Tribolium castaneum: one gene and its partner. The protein of the gene in region 1 purifies or fractionates together with the protein of each later gene. This does not show direct contact. Links are inferred from orthologs where the notes say so. Each region holds a gene or a part of one and is shown in the gene's direction. Other genes may lie near its edges.

What was found.
Region 2: the proteins of fand (region 1) and RNA helicase aquarius fractionate together in Homo sapiens (co-fractionation; 3 studies listed by BioGRID and IntAct, with this or other methods). This does not show direct contact. The link is inferred for Tribolium castaneum from reciprocal best matches to the Homo sapiens genes XAB2 and AQR.

What each region holds. Positions count from the first base shown.
Region 1 is NC_087398.1:14,034,950-14,043,219, reverse strand, and holds the start of fand (pre-mRNA-splicing factor syf1 homolog), read left to right. Parts: upstream 1-2,737; 5' UTR 2,738-2,858; coding exon 2,859-2,912; intron 2,913-2,961; coding exon 2,962-4,018; intron 4,019-8,270. Other genes in the region: nucleoporin Nup43, read left to right, coding at 2,161-2,519. UniProt on the Homo sapiens protein: Involved in pre-mRNA splicing as component of the spliceosome. Involved in transcription-coupled repair (TCR), transcription and pre-mRNA splicing.
Region 2 is NC_087396.1:23,733,240-23,741,193, forward strand, and holds the start of RNA helicase aquarius, read left to right. Parts: upstream 1-3,746; 5' UTR 3,747-3,875; coding exon 3,876-3,944; intron 3,945-3,996; coding exon 3,997-4,097; intron 4,098-4,147; coding exon 4,148-4,856; intron 4,857-4,857; exon of another isoform or gene 4,858-4,965; coding exon of another isoform or gene 4,966-5,245; intron 5,246-5,293; coding exon of another isoform or gene 5,294-5,429; intron 5,430-5,589; coding exon of another isoform or gene 5,590-5,753; intron 5,754-5,809; coding exon of another isoform or gene 5,810-6,180; intron 6,181-6,224; coding exon of another isoform or gene 6,225-6,432; intron 6,433-6,477; coding exon of another isoform or gene 6,478-6,686; exon of another isoform or gene 6,687-6,822; intron 6,823-6,894; exon of another isoform or gene 6,895-7,162; intron 7,163-7,726; exon of another isoform or gene 7,727-7,954. Other genes in the region: uncharacterized protein LOC659930, read right to left, coding at 2,047-2,520; mthl5 (probable G-protein coupled receptor Mth-like 5), read right to left, coding at 4,966-5,245, 5,294-5,429, 5,590-5,753, 5,810-6,180, 6,225-6,432, 6,478-6,686.

The sequences.
Region 1 (8,270 bases):
AACAAAATGTCTTTTAAAAATCCTTTTTTTAAGACTAGATAGTGAAATGGAATAAAAAAACTCAAACTACGTATTTGCTGAAATAACATGTGGCTAAAGTTTTAAGTCTTTTAAGGCAAACACATAACTCCAAAAAACAACGCGGAGATAGTTGATTTTGGAACGCATATATAAGATTACTTTACGTAAAGAAATGACATTGATATTTCAAACTTTAATGCAGTTGATGTTAATAACTATTTTTTGTTAGTATTTAGTCCGCCAGATAATTGTGCTAAATCCACATTATCATTAGTACGCAAAAAAATCAACGATAATGGTTCCTTTCGTCTTCAGCTTGCTGCTGTTGATGAAGTTTATGAAATAGTTATAGTGTTGACGAAAATATTTTTATTTTTGATGTTGTGTATAGTTCTGCGTAACTGGCTATGTCTATACCATAAACCAATGAAAACTTCCACAAAACCGCATCAATTATTTTGGGCATCTTCTTAGTACCTGCAAGAGGCTCATTATCTTTTAGGATTCCTTCTTGTAAACAACAATGATCAAAATAATAACTGCAATTGTGGGGTAAGTTTTTGTTGGTTTGCGGTTGACATAGCAAGTAATGTGAGAACTATAAGTATATACCCTATATATACTCAAAATTGACGCCCATGCTTTTAGGATTTGCTTCAGAAGACTAAAACAAATCGAAAGTTAAGAGTGAAAAATTGTCCAATTGTCCTTCGTTATCGAGTTATTGATAAGTATCTAAAATTTAAAATTTGTACATTAAATTTTATTAAAAGCGAATTTACCAAATTTGTTGTCACAAAGTATGCTATAATGCGATTTGGAAACTTTTCCGTGTAGGCCCTAGTCTCAGCAGTGGCATTGCCATCATACAAACATCTTACTTATAACCGAGCTTTTAACATATCGTCAAAATTTCGAATACACTAATAAAGTGGTATCTTATCATTTAACACATACAAAAACGAAGGAAATTAATAATACTCTTTACTAGACACAGTTATTCAAAGAATTTTAATATCGCTAACATCAACTAATCAATTATGTTGCACAAATAATTGGAAAGACAGCTAAAGCTTATTATTTACATTTTTATCAATAACTCTAAAACGAACAATTGGAAAATTTTTTACTCTTAACTTTCGATTTGTATTAATACCCTAAATCAAACTGCCATAGCACAGGCGTCAATTTTGAGACTTTTACTTGTTAGAACGTAATCTATTCAACATTTTTCAAACGAGCGTAAATGGTTGGCTTGGTTAAACGAAACTGATCGAAGAAATTTACATCACTAACAATTTCAAAATAATTTTTCTTTTTCTATAAATTTTTTGTCTTCGCAGTTCGGAAGAAGATAATGAATTAGAAGAAAAAATGAACACTTTCTTAATTTTGTGCAATTCAAAAAACTGACAAATTTAACGTTTGTTAAAGTTGCTTTTGTAATTTGCCGCCGTCTTTACGTCTTTACCTAATCATTATTTGACGAAATATTTTACGAAAATTTTTAGGTTGAAACGCATTTTAAAAATTGAAGTCACTTTTAAAAGTTTAAGTTACTTTAAAATGATTTATGAAACGATCCTACTTCAAGTTATTTCGATATAAATTTGGGATTATGACGTCATAACCGTCTCTCGAGCATTATTTGGTCCAATTTTAAGATCAAATAGTTTTTGATCACTGCCAAAGAATATCGAAATGAAGACACAATTTCTGAGATATTTTCGCAAAGTGCAAGACAAAATTTAGAACAGGTAGGAGTTTGGAAAGTAGTTATTTTTTTGATTTTGTAGAAGATATGTGAAAAATATGTGATTAATAAAAGGTTTCTGTGATGAGAGGCGGTTGTGACGTTAAGGCTTCACTTATTTTTTGCTGCAGAAAATTTTGAAAAAAGTCTCTATAGTTCCAATTTCCGTTAAAAGATAAATTAGGTAAAATACAATGTGTTCAAAAATGGTGGTTCATCAAGTTAACTATTTTAAATTTAAATTAAGCGGCACATTACGTTCAAATTTCATATGTGACTTGATGAACGAAGTTTTTTGAGCACATTTTATAAGTTGCCACTGCCTTCAATTTTAGTCATAGACCACTCTGATCAGAATTCGAAATATGTTATTTACTCCGTTTCAGGTTCGATAACGATATGGGATTTGCGCCAAAACACATATCCTGTGAATGTGTTGGATGCTCATGAGGGAGGCGTTATGGAAATACACTTCCATCCAGATCATCCTGACCAGCTATTCACTTGTTCCACTGATGGGGATGTTTGGCATTGGTCGCCTAAATGTGGCAGTGCCTCTAGTTTGCTGAATGGGGAGAATGTTTGGTTGGCATCCGAGGCTATCAAAAATAAGTTGGATGTTTTTACGCTCATGCCTAAATTGCACAAACCAATCAATAGTCTGGATGTTAACAGAAATAAGGTTCTTTGTGGGTGCGATAACGAGGCGGTTTATTTAATCAATGGAGTTAATGTTTTTAAGTAATTGTTTTGTACAAAGTTTCTAATAAAAAGTTGAACCACTATTTGGTTGTTGGCATATACGTGATAGCTGGAGGTCGTTATAATGGGTTCGTTATAACCAGACTCTACTGTATTATATCTTTGTTGATCATATCATCAGCATTTTACTAAGGTGTTTTAGGTTAAAACTTAGAAATAAGAGCAATATATACTACCACTTGTTAAAAAACACCACAATTTCACATTTTGTATATTTTTAATTTCGCATTTGTTGGAATTCGCTTTTGACCGACAATAATAACTAACCTCATCTACTTAACCTAACATTTCTCAACGTTATATTTTCGTTCAAAGCGCCGCAATGCCTGTCTCTAGCGATGTTGTTCGTAAAGAAACCCCCATGGAAATTATATTTGTACGTATCCCGTTTCAAAATTAGTCCAAAATAACTGCGAAAATTCCAGACAGACGAAGACCTCCCTTACGAAGAAGAGATCCTCCGCAACCCCTACTCTGTGAAGCACTGGCTGCGCTACATTGAGCACAAGAAGAAGGCCCCGAAGCACGGCGTTAACATAATTTACGAGCGGGCCCTTAAAGAGCTCCCCGGCTCTTACAAACTTTGGTACAACTACTTACGCACTCGCCGCCTCCAGGTGAAAAACCGCTGCATCACAGACCCCGCATTCGAGGAAGTCAACAACGCTTTTGAGCGCTCCCTTGTTTTCATGCACAAAATGCCGCGAATTTGGATGGATTATTGCAGTTTCCTGACCGATCAGTGCAAGATAACGCGGACTCGGAAGGTTTTCGACCGGGCTTTGAGGGCGCTCCCGGTGACCCAACACCACCGGATTTGGCCCCTTTACCTCACATTCGTCAAAAAGCACGACATTTCCGAGACCGCTGTGCGCATTTTTCGCCGGTATTTGAAGCTCAGTCCGGAGAATGCGGAGGAATACGTTGAGTATTTGACCGAAGTTGGGCGTTTGGACGAAGCCGCCGTTGTGTTGGCTAAGATTGTCAATGATGAGAATTTCGTGTCACAGCACGGGAAGTCCAAACACCAGCTCTGGAACGAGTTGTGCGAGTTGATTTCGAAAAATCCCGAAGAGGTGCATTCGTTGAATGTTGATGCGATTATCAGGGGCGGCTTGAGGCGGTACACTGATCAGTTGGGGCATTTGTGGAACTCTCTGGCTACGTATTATGTCAGGAGCGGGTTGTTTGAACGGGCGCGGGATATTTACGAGGAGGCGATTCAGACGGTTACAACTGTGCGGGATTTTACGCAAGTCTTTGACGCCTATGCACAGTTTGAGGAGTTGACGTTGAGTAAACGGATGGAGGAGGTGGCGCAAAAGCCCAATCAGACTGAAGATGATGATATTGAGTTGGAGTTGAGGCTGGCGAGGTTTGAGAATTTGATGGAGAGGAGGCTGTTGCTGTTGAATTCGGTTCTCTTGAGGCAGAATCCGCATAATGTGCAGGAGTGGCACAAGCGAGTGCAGCTGTATGAAGGTACGTTTGTAAATTAATATCATACAATTTTACTCGTATTTATTACTAAAATATCGGAAATTTTACCTTGTAAAAGTTGTACGATTTATGGTCACTTGTCTTTGAAAGTAATAGAAATTTAATTGTATTTTTCTCAATTTTTATGAATCGAAGATCGTCGATGTCACATGCAATTGTAAGCAGTTTAAAACTTGCATATATATCGGGCACTTGCTCATCTACCATTATTTATCTACTGCCTGTTTTATTGTAAAAAAAACCTATACGGACTCTTCAAATACATACAGGGCGTCTCAAAAATGGCGAATTCCGAGTTTATAGCATTGTAGAGAATCACTTCAGTAGTCCAAATGTAGAAAAAAAAGTTTTGGGTCTTCCCCACTTCTAATTAATAAAAAATTAAAAAACATTCTAAGGGTGGATAATCGTCGGCTAACTTTATCCTGGGGAGAAATTTTAAAAAATACATTGTTGTAACAATTGTGACCATAGTAATTATACCAAAAATACCATATCCGGAGTTTATTTCACGATTGTAAAATCCACCCCAAAATGGATTGAATTTAAAAAAAAAAAGACTTTTCAACTTAGTTGATTTAAGAAGAGAATAATTTAATTTTGGCTACTACAGTGATTTTTCAGCTTATTTTGATAAAACTGGATTCTAACAAGTATATTTTTACTGTACAGGGTAGTGCAATTTGGAAGAGGTTTTTAGAAAACAACGAGTGACACATTCTCAAATCCGTTTTTTTGAGAAAATAAAATTGATAAAATCCGCATCCCGCTATCGTCTTTTGTTTTAGACTTATAATTATAAACAAAACAATCTTAAAAAATTCATACAGGGTGGCTCTGGGGTGCGTAATCGGTCTATAAATTTTTTATTATTTGAAATATTGCCATGTTGTTTTCACTGTCCGATAGATCGACTTAAAGTCCACAAACTAAAAATAATTTTATTGTACACACGGTGTTGTATACAGGGTGGTGAACCAAAGTTACATTTTTTTAAATGAAACATCCTACATATTTTTGCACAATTGGATGCTACGCAAAAAAATGTAACTTTATATAAACTATAATGAGTCTATCTTTTTTTGTTTCGGAATTATTCAACTTTTCGGTACCAATTTTTGAAAAATCACTGCGAAGTAGTGCGAAGTCGCCTATGAATAATTTTCGAAAAATTTGTAATAGAAAAACTCAGAATACCTTGTAGTTTTAGCAAATAGACGACTTTTAGTTAAAGCACATAGATTATATACAGAGTGTGCCAAAACGCAAAAAGTTGAATAACTCATTTTTGTCAAATGGAACACCAAATATTTATTTACACTAACGATAACATTTTTCATAAGCTTTCTAATGATATGCGGATTGTATAGCAAAGGACTAGGCACACTTCTTATGGGAATTTAAGGACCACTCAAATTGAGTAATTTTTATATTTATATTTTTTAGTGTTCAAAAAATTTTTTTTTTTTTTATTTATTTTATTATTAATTTTTGATGAGCCAAATTGATTTATGTATCAAGTAATAATTAGATTACTAATAGTTACTAATTACTAATAAGTAATAATTAGTCACATTAGTACATAGCAAAAAATAAATAATCATTTAACTTAACAGGATAACAAATTTTATTGTAATAAAATAATTTTTTTGAAAAATTTCGAAAAATATTTTAAAATTGCTATGAAGATTCCATATCGTTAAAAAGCATATCAAAAATGCTATGGATTCATGAAAAAAAATACAGTGTTCCATTTGAAAAAAAATGACTTTTTCAATTTTTTGCCTTTCGGCACACTCACAGGTATTCTAAATTTTTGTTACAAATTTACCGGAAAATATTAATCGGCGACTTTGCAGTGATTTTTTAAAAATTGTTTTTTTTTATAACGAAATGTAAAATAATTCCAAAACGAAAAAAGATAGATCCAAAATAGTTTATATAAAGTTAAAGTTTTTTGCGTAGATTATGAAAAATATATTACCCAACAAGTATATTTATAATTTAATGATGTTTTTAACACTAAATAATCTAAAAACAGTATAATAAATTTATTAAATGTTATGAAGACTGTGCTAAAAGACTGAAAAGTTTTCTCTAATAAAACAACTAACAGAATGCCTTTTTTTGCAACTAAGCCGTTAAACGTTGAAACCAAATATTTTAGGGAGTAAAATGCAAAATCATTATTGGGAGCTATTACATACATAATACTTAAGATTTTATTTATTTATTGTTGGAATTCACAAACTGACTTTGTCTTGATTTCTTGCGGACCATTCCCGAATTTTGCTTTTACACTCTTCACTCAACGGATTGCCACTTAAATAAGTGGCTTTTTTGGCTTTAAAAATTTTATCTAAATCACCGTCCAGACACGTAATCTTGTTATATGCAAGGTTGAGAGCCCGGATAAATTCAGCATCTGCAAGATAATCCTCATGCCATTGTTCTATTTCATTCTGAGACAGATCCAAGGTATCGACTAGTTTCCATCCTTTGAAATTTTCAGCTGTAATTTTCTTAATTTTGTTGCTGTTTAACTTAACCCACTGTTCTTTTTGGTTGTAAATATTTTTAAATGCTTGGACTGGAAGTTGCTCGATGAGATTATTGGAAAGAAATAGGCGATAGATGTTCGGACAATTACGCAACCAGTTGTTGTTATATTGCGCCAATTTATTACTCGACAAAATTAAATTTGCCAGGTTGGGCATGTTGTTGAATGCATCTGGTGCAATGTGGGAAATTTCGTTATTGGCTAGCTCTATGTGAAGCAAAGTTTTGTTATTGAAGATGCCAGCAGGAATTGTTTTTAAGTGGTTTCGATTTAGGTAAATTCCCTGTAAATTTGGCATTCGGCCCATGAAATTTTCTGGAACGGTTTTCAGTAAATTACCATCCAAATATAGGTAACGTATTGACGAGCTGTCGAAAATTTCTTCCTTGATTGTGGTGAATTTATTATTGCTTAACGAAACAATCGTGAGATGGGGTAAATGTTTGAAAATTCCGAGTGGAAGATCTGAGAGTAAATTTTGAAATAAATCCAACGTTTCCAAGTTTGGAAGATGGTCAAAAGCACTTTCTTCAATAGTTTCGATTAAATTACCGGCAAAGCTCAGTCCTTTCAAATTGGGATTTTTCACAACTCCTTTTGGGATTACCGAGATTTGGTTGTTATTTAAGTTGAGCTGCTCTAAAGTGAGATTATCAAAAACTCCAGCGATGGTTGTGATGTTGCTTCCATTAATTTTCAATGTTTTCACACTGTTTAAATTTTTGAACGCACCTGGACGTATTTCAACGATTTGATTTTTGAGGAATTGAAGTTCCTTCACATTTTCAACGTTTGTGACGGAATTTTCATGTAAAATTGGTATTGTTCCGATTACAATAATTGTCGAAGTCCACTTTTTAGGTAAATAAGTCCCGAGATTGTTTGCGGAATCGATGGTGTTGATATTTTTCTCCCACGTCCAAAGGGTAACATTTTTGAATGACACTTCACTGGATGTTACACCCAAAATAGTCACAAAAACTAGCAAAAACAGTGATTTCGGATTCATTTTTCGGACCACCACACTCAATTTTGTTGCATCTCTGGTGAAATAATGAGAGATAAAACAATTATATTGTTTACAATGTTTATTTGATGACCGCCATTGATTGGTTTAATCTGTTCCTGAAATAGCCAACATTACTAATGTTGTTTTTGTTGGAATAATTTGTACAGATATAATAAGAAGAAATCCACTTAATTGTTGATTATTTTTAATTGTTGTTTGTATTAAATTAATTAAAGAAAATATTTTCACACAAGCTGTAAAATGTAAATTTCGTGTAACGTATTTTACTTCATTTGTGCAAATTGAGCTAAATAAACCCTAAATTACCATCTAAGATATCATCTAAAAACAATAATTTATAAGTTTGTAAACTTTTGTATACTGTATTTATTACCATGTAGATGAAAGAAGATGATAAAGTTTGGGCTTTCGTGTTTTGTCTTAATTCAAGTAATTCATTCTGAAATAATAATTCAATTAAATTTAATAAATAACGCAATAATTAAATTATATTTAGGTAACTTTTTTACGATTTGAATTAAATAATTTATTGAACGTGTGTGACGTTGGTAAATTGTGTATAATGTCCATCATATCATTTCTCTGTAAAAATGCAAAACTAAAATTAGTAACTATTTTTTTAGCGTTTACATTTTCTGATAAAT
Region 2 (7,954 bases), on another chromosome or scaffold:
GTTTGCAGTTCAGCGAACGACTGAAATAGTTTTAACCAATTTTAATTAGTTCGGACGAAAGAATGCGCTTAGTTTGTTAATAATTTAGGTGGGTAATTCGATACCGTATTGTGTGCCGACTACTAAAACTTTTCAATGACGCTTTTTCGCAGAAACGCCGAGATAATTGCGATTTTTTCTCGTTAAATTGTCATCGACAAAACTAAATTAATTTTGCAACGTAAACAGCTTGTAAATGTTCAGTTTTGCCGTAAATACAAAATATATAACAGTGCTCTAATCCCCTGTGCACTGAGCAGAGCATTTGTTCGCAGATTATTGCACAATATACCACTTCAGCATAGAGAGAAATTCGAAATTATTGCAGGCTTAGCAGCGATTAAAAGCTAATACAACTTTGCGAAATTTTATTTAAGTTAACTAAAACTGAGATCAATAGATTATTAAGGTGCATACAAATACGCTTTACAAAAGGATGAAAGCGTTCAGAACGTAAAGTAACGATTGAAGATTAGGTAAATATAAACGTTGAGGAAAAATTCTCGTGTGAAACGTGGAATGCTCCCGATTACGTGAAATTAGAGCAATAAATCTTTGATAAGATGCGAGTAGTTTACGAATAGGGGAGAATATTATTGCAAGCGTTAATCAAACAATTTAACAATTTCAGGAATTATTACGTAGCTAGAAAAACGTCAGAGCCGCTGAAAAATGATAAAGCTTTATGTAGAGCGATAAGTTTAATTTTTTTAAGCTTATCTTGTCACTTGCCCTAGCTTTACCAGCTTTACTTGAATAATAGCTCAATGTCACACCGCAAACCTAATACAACTTTTTCAACACAGACATTCTTTATCTTCCAAACACAAAAAATACCTGTTTATTATAATTAGTTGTCTCCCGGCGCCTCCACCATTATTACGCAAACAATAAAATACGTCAATGATTTTGCGAGCAGTTTAATTTCAGTTTAGATTCTTTCTAAAACAAACATCCGTTTATCTGTAATTTCACGGTTACAATTACATGTTTAATTCCGATTAAGCAAACACACATTTTTTGCACAGCAAAAGTAGAACATTAATTCTAAACAGACGTGTGTTGTGAGGACAAACACAATTTATTTAAATAAGGGAAAAAAGTTTAAAGTTTCGTCGAACAGACAACAGAGTTTACAGCTCTTAACCCTTTCCTTTTTGTAAAATAATTCTGTTAAACTTTGCCAATGTAATAAAAACAAAGTAGATACATCAACTGGAAACTGCTCAAAACTTGTTTTGCTCCATGTAGTAGGTGTACTATTACATTGGTTACCTGAAGAAATTAAAGGAGGAGGAATTTTAAGATATGATACCGAAAAGAAAACGTAAAGAAAAAACATTATTTATTAATGAAAAGGAAGTAAAGAAAAAGTGCCAATAATCTTTGGCCACCAAACGAAGAACTTATGAAGAATAAGAACGTATAAAAGTGAAACGAATGATAACAGAAGAAAAGAAAAAAATGCTGAAACAAGCTTGTAATTGACAGCAAAATTTGTACAAAGTACTGAAAAATTCAATGTAAAAGAAAGTAAATAATAAAAAACAGAGGAGCAAAGAAGAAGAAGAGTTGAATGAATACATTAAAAAATAAGGAATAAAATATTTTTGCTATACGCCTTAATTGTTAAATTTTGTTTCTTAATTCAAGAAAAGGATTCGAAGTTTATTGTAGCTGGTTTATTGGTGGACAGAATTAGCCAGTAAATTGAAACAGAAAAATTGCATTTGACGTTGGTAAAGGAAATCTCCGTAAGAATGTAATTACAGACAACTCTTGTTACATAATTAACTGTAATTAAACTGTGTCTGATTGGACAAAGTAAATCGGGACGAAATCCAACACTCCGAACTTGTTCACGTAACAATTCAATTTGTCCAACGTGTGTGAAAAGGTGAAAAGTGAGGCCGAGAGCGCGTTCAGAATTGTGTTATAAATATTTGAAACGAGCGTTCTTTGAGCTTTGAGCGCACTTGAAGACAAAACACTTTTTTAAATACTCACCGGAATCCGGCTGTAGCTCGTGAGCCAGATCCAGGAATCGCCCCCAGGAGCCGCCCCCTTGTTCCCCGTCTGCTGCCTTATCAACTCGTCCTTCTTCTCCAGCGTGCTCCTCATCTCCGGACTGAAGAACTCCACGTGTGGCTCGTCGCTCGGCGAGTTGAGCATTTGGTAATCGTCGGCATCGCGTCGCCTCCTGGTGCCCTTCTGGTGCTCCTGCAGGATGAGAATCCGCACGATTTCGTCCTTGGCCTGGTCGGCGCGCAGCTCGTTGAGGAAGAACTGGCGGAAGTCCTCTTTGGAGACGTAGTCGCTGCGGACTTCCGAGTTGATCAGTCGGTAGATGTAGTGCGCCAGGCAGATCTCGGTGATGAAGATGAAGAGGACGCAGCAGATCACGCGGATTGTGTAGCTGGGGTTGCGGTGGTGGAGCGGCAAACGGGTGCCGGAGTCGAGTTTGGGGTTTGATTCCGACATTCCGGAAATCACATCGCGGACGAGGAGGAAACGCAAGCGAGCTTCTTCCTGCAGCGGACGCGAACGGACTGAAGGAAATGTTTCAGAGGCAGACGCGCGCCGCGGATAATGGAACACTTGATGCACTTGAAGATTGGGTAATTCGAACACTGAATCATCAATCAGAGGATGAGGTGCAAGAGTGGAAGGAGATGGGACAAGGAGATGGATTTTCGATTTCGGAAACCAAAATTATTCGAGTTGTAATTTATTGACTTTTTTTGCTTTTGAATTTGACTATCAAAATCAAAACCAAATAAAACAAAGTAGTATATCAAAGAACGTGTTTTATTTTTTTACATTTATGGCAACGCCATAATACTACCATTAATTAACAATTAACAAAACCCTGAAGACACAGAATTAAACTTCGAATGACCATCATATTTAATAAAAATATAATATTTTATCTCAATTTTTTCCTAACATTTAAGCAAGATATATACTTGATTTTAGAAACTGCGCACAGAATTCAGAATTTACTGTAAAATACTAATTTTTGTAATCCCTAGAAATAAATACATAATAATTAGTTAAAAATGTTAAAATACAGAATAATTATACGAAGTTTTTTGATTTATGTTATTTCAATAAAAATAATGCAAAAACACTCTTAAACAATCTGTTGCAATAAGGCCACTAAAATTGAGCTTAGTTTAATTTTTTATTTTTTTCTAATGTAATTATTTTCTAGAATTCTTTTGCAAATAATTGCTTGTTTTAAAATGAGGTAAGAAGTAATAATAAACGCCCAGAAATGACTAAATTATTTTTTTATGATTTTCTCTAAATTTCTCGAGTTTTTTAAATTTATTAAAAAAAATACTTTAAGTTTTACTTTGATTTTCTTAATTTTATTATTGAATTTCTCTGCGATTTAATTCATCAGGTTTATAGTTAAAAACTTGCAAATTTTAGAAGTTTTTTTTCTTGAAGAGAACGAAAAACGTCCCGTGAAAGTCAAAAATGACTTTATTTTGACAATGTTTTGCTAGATTATAACTAATATTTGTATTAACTGGTCTTTCTAAACAATGCATTTTATTTTTGTAAAGCTCGAATCTTAATATGGTCTTTACTTCGAACAAGTATTTCTTGATCAGCAACAAAGAATTCGAGTTTTGTCTCAGTCAAATTTTCTTCCCCGTTTTTTTTGGATTCTCAATTTTTATTCAAACCGCGCCACGCTTGCACCAACACAACAAACATTAAGTAAAAAATCCCCAGAAATTTGTAGAGGTAGCGTTCTTCAAACGTTGTTTAATTAAAGTTTTTAACTAATTAACCATTTTTGCGTGGTGTGTGCCCCCAGCCGAATGGCCGACAACACCACGAAAGTGGTGGCTCCCACCGTGGAGCAAATTAACGCCGACCGAATCACTGAAGTGAGTTACCCCATCCTAACCTGAAACCTTGTTTACTTTCAATTTTCCAAAGTTTGCCGAAAAATACTGGGCCCCGCATTCCGCCCAAAACCAGCAACCCTTCGACTCCCAAATCGTGGACGACATATACTTGCAAGACATCCGCGGTAGCAAGTAAAAAACCAATCCACCGCTAAAGTGTGGTTATGACAATTTTTTTCCAGTTTTTCGATTCGTAGAATAATGGTGTTGGAGTTCAGCCAATACTTGGAGAATTATCTGTGGCCCAACTACAAACCGGGGGCTTCGTATGCCCACATGTTGTCCGTTGTGAACATGGTGAATGAGAAATTTAGGGAGCGGGTGCAAGTGTGGCAAGCGTTTCGGAAAAATCCCACCCATTTTCCTGATTTTTTCCAACAAGTACTTAAAGGATTGTTAGAAGACGAATTATTAATCAATTTAAGAGAGCAGACTTCACTGCTTGTGTTTCTCAATCATTGCTTCAATAGCATGGAAGAGGGGCTTTGTAGGGATCAAGTCAAGCGGTTAGTTTCGCTCTCAATGTGGGTGTCTTTACAACCCGGGCGTCGTGAATACGAGTTTAAGAAAAACCCAAAGTGGCGAAAGTATTGGAAAGCCATTCAGAAAAAAGATAAGCCAGAAGAGTTAGAAAGACTGAATTGGGAGCGGACTTTTTTGCACAAACTCATTTTAAAATTTTTGAATATTCTGGATACGATCACAGAAGATGGGATTTGTCCACTTGACAAAATCCACTACTGTGAGCGATTTCTTGAACTAGTGACTGACTTGGAGGCTCTTCTTCCTACTAGAAGATTCTTCAATACTGTCTTGGATGACAGTCACTTGGTGGTGCGTTGCCAACTCTCAGCTCTCATTAAACGGCCAGAGGGACACTTATTTAGCCAGGTGAGTCGTTTAATCATTTTTATTATAAATATTAAGTACACAATAATGTAAATTAAATACATAAATAATGTCAAAATTGGATAAAACGGACGGAATGTCGTTCAGCTGCCTAATAGATTCCCGTATTCATAGCTGTCATTTCGTCGCCCCATTCTGGTTCAGGTTCAGTGCGACAACACTTGCAAAAGCAATTTTCGTAACAACACGTTTTGCGTACCAGATATCCGACGTGTTTCTGGTTGAAAATACAAACGTATAAAATTAAAGGCCCTTGGAATGCATTCAATATTATGTAACAGTTAACTAGGCCAGTGAATTTGAAAAATGACATCAGGAAAAACAGCCATGTTATTGTCATTATTAGCAATAATAAGAAAAACATGCGAAAGCTGCAAAAAGTGGTTTAGTTTAGTTGGCAGATTGTTTTTGCTGTCTACCTGTGGGTTAATTTATGGTGGATGCGACCGTATGTGTGCATTCGGCTTATGATTTTTAATGTTGTGGCGAAGAAAAATATGTCCATTATTATTGTGGCGGCAACGGGGACGAAAAATAGGATTATCCCCAGGGATCCTGAAATAAACGTTTTCAAAATTTTAGTGCTATAAACAGAGTGAAAAAAATCGCACACAAACAAATTAAAAATTAAAATAATCTTGCATCTTTAAAAATTATACGATCATGAAGTATTATCCAGTAGAAAAAAAAGTTTATTTTTTTATTGTATGTTTACCGATTTCTTCCTTTTGCTCAAGCTGCGGTTTGTCCTCGGGATAGTCCATGGTAAAATGGGCAAAAACGGCCAAAACGCCCAACAAGAGCGTGCAAGACCATGAATACATCGAATAATAACAGTATTTTTTCCCATCTGTAATTCTCAGAAAAACGTTCCTTGACCTGCAATGACGTCAACATTTGCATATTTATGAAACGTCCGTTCGTATCAATATTACTTGAAGGTTTTCCAAATGTAATAACCCAAACTATTTAGCCAGAAAAACGCCCCCAGTAGACTGAAATAACAAATGGTATCGCTAATAATGAGGCTTATATGGCTATCAAAAACCGTCAAGAGTCGGATTAAATCAGCGGCTTGGCTGACAATAAGGCACATGCTGATTGTGGTAACAATGTTACCGACAAGATCACGTAAAGTTGGCATTATGAAGTAGATGATGGCTATTATCAGAAGGCACACAATTCCAATAAAGTGCGTTATGGGCGATACAATATTTCGCATTAAAAATTTCGTTTCAGTCCAATGTGTGTGATGATCAGGGGCACAAACGCGAGCAAATTGACTCACAAGTTTATCGTCGACTCTCTGAAACATTAAATTGGGCACAAGTTTAATCTAATAATTTGTACCTTGTCTAAACAGTATTTGCCAGGTTCGTAGTCATGGTATAGCGAATTTTTGCTACCACCGTCCCATTCGTCCTCATGTGGAATATTACGGTCGAAATAATGCCTCAGAACCCCGTTTGAAAGTAGTCTAAGGCGGTCGGTTGAATTTTCGTAGTGGTAGATGGGCCAGGGGGCCTTTGGCCCACAGTCTGGCAAACCCGTTACCAGTCTGGAAAAAATCACTGAAGAGTCACACCAATTTGGTATTTCCTACCTGTATTTGACTTGAATGTTCGTTTTGCCGTCCTCGCTGTAAAACATGGGCTTCCATGGTTGTTCCGTTTTATTTATCCTGGTACAGTGTTTCCCTTCATAGAATTCGTTTTCTTCGCAACATTTATTTACACCAATCAGTGGTTCTAAAGTGTTTGCGAGTTCGGATTTGACTTGTGAGATAACGAAGAGGATGTAAATAAAATTCATGTTATTTTTCAAATGTGTAGTTTGAGGTTATGTCACACAAACATTTACTACGAAGCGTTTTAACTCTCACTCGTTTGTTGGTATTTGTTGAAGGTTTCATTGATTCGATTTTGGGTATTTTTAAGTTAATTTGCTTCTGTTTTTTGTAAGAGAGTTTAAATATTTTAGTTAATAAAGGTAGGGTCAGGGGCGTACGTGCATCACTTACCACCTTGTCTGGGTAATTTTTTTAACGGAAATTCTGGTATTAGTCGGTGACTAGGCACGTAGAGGTAAATCATACTACATTTCCGTCATAATCACGCAATTCGAATTTCCCCCACTGTCTTTGTGTCTGTTAAATGAGACAACAGATCGTGTTCAAGGATGAGTAATGGACAGTGGCGTGGCAAACATATGGTCAACACTTTCTAAAGAAACATCGTCCAAAGTATTTTAACTCAAAGTTAAATAGTCCAATGTAAAATAAATACAGCAAAAATAACTTGTGGGAACAAAAAATTAAGCAAAAAAAGCTTGCGATAACAAAAAAAGGAGCAAAAAAATATCTTCTGGGGATAAAAATATCTGCGGGAATAAAAAGTGCAGCAAAAATAGCTTGTGGAAACAAAAATGCTACAATATTTCCACGAACAAAAAATGCAGCAGAAAATTGATTACGGCGATAAAAGAACAAGAAAAAATGGTAACAAAGAATGGAGGGACAAATAACTTGTTATCAATTAAGTAATTTGATTACTTTTTAATTAATTGCATTATAAGATAAAGAGTTTATTGTTATGATGTATCATTGCATTAAAAAATGGTATAGTAAGGTCATTCTTTATTAAGCAATAAAGCATTTAAAAGTAAATCGGTTTTGTGGGAACAAAAAATGCAATAAAAATATGTGCCAGAACAAAAAAAATTGCAGTAACAAAAAATTGAACAAAAACAAAGCTTATGTGGAGAAAAAATGAAGCAAAGAAGAATGACTTACGATAATAAAAAATGGAGTAAAAAAACTTTGTGGGAACAAAAAATTCAGCAAAAAAAATAGCTGGGGGAACAAAAAATTTATTAAAGGATAATTCGGTATGAGAAATATTTCACTCGATCTCATCCAGTCTTCAAAGTTGCATCTTCATTGCGAATAGAAGTCTACTGTGATTACGAAAATTTGTAAATCGGTTCCCAGTTTTGCGTAAAAATAAAATTAGCTAAAAATAGTTTATGTTTAATTTTCGTTGTCTTATGTACATTTTGTCTTGTTCCTTGGCCCAAAGACC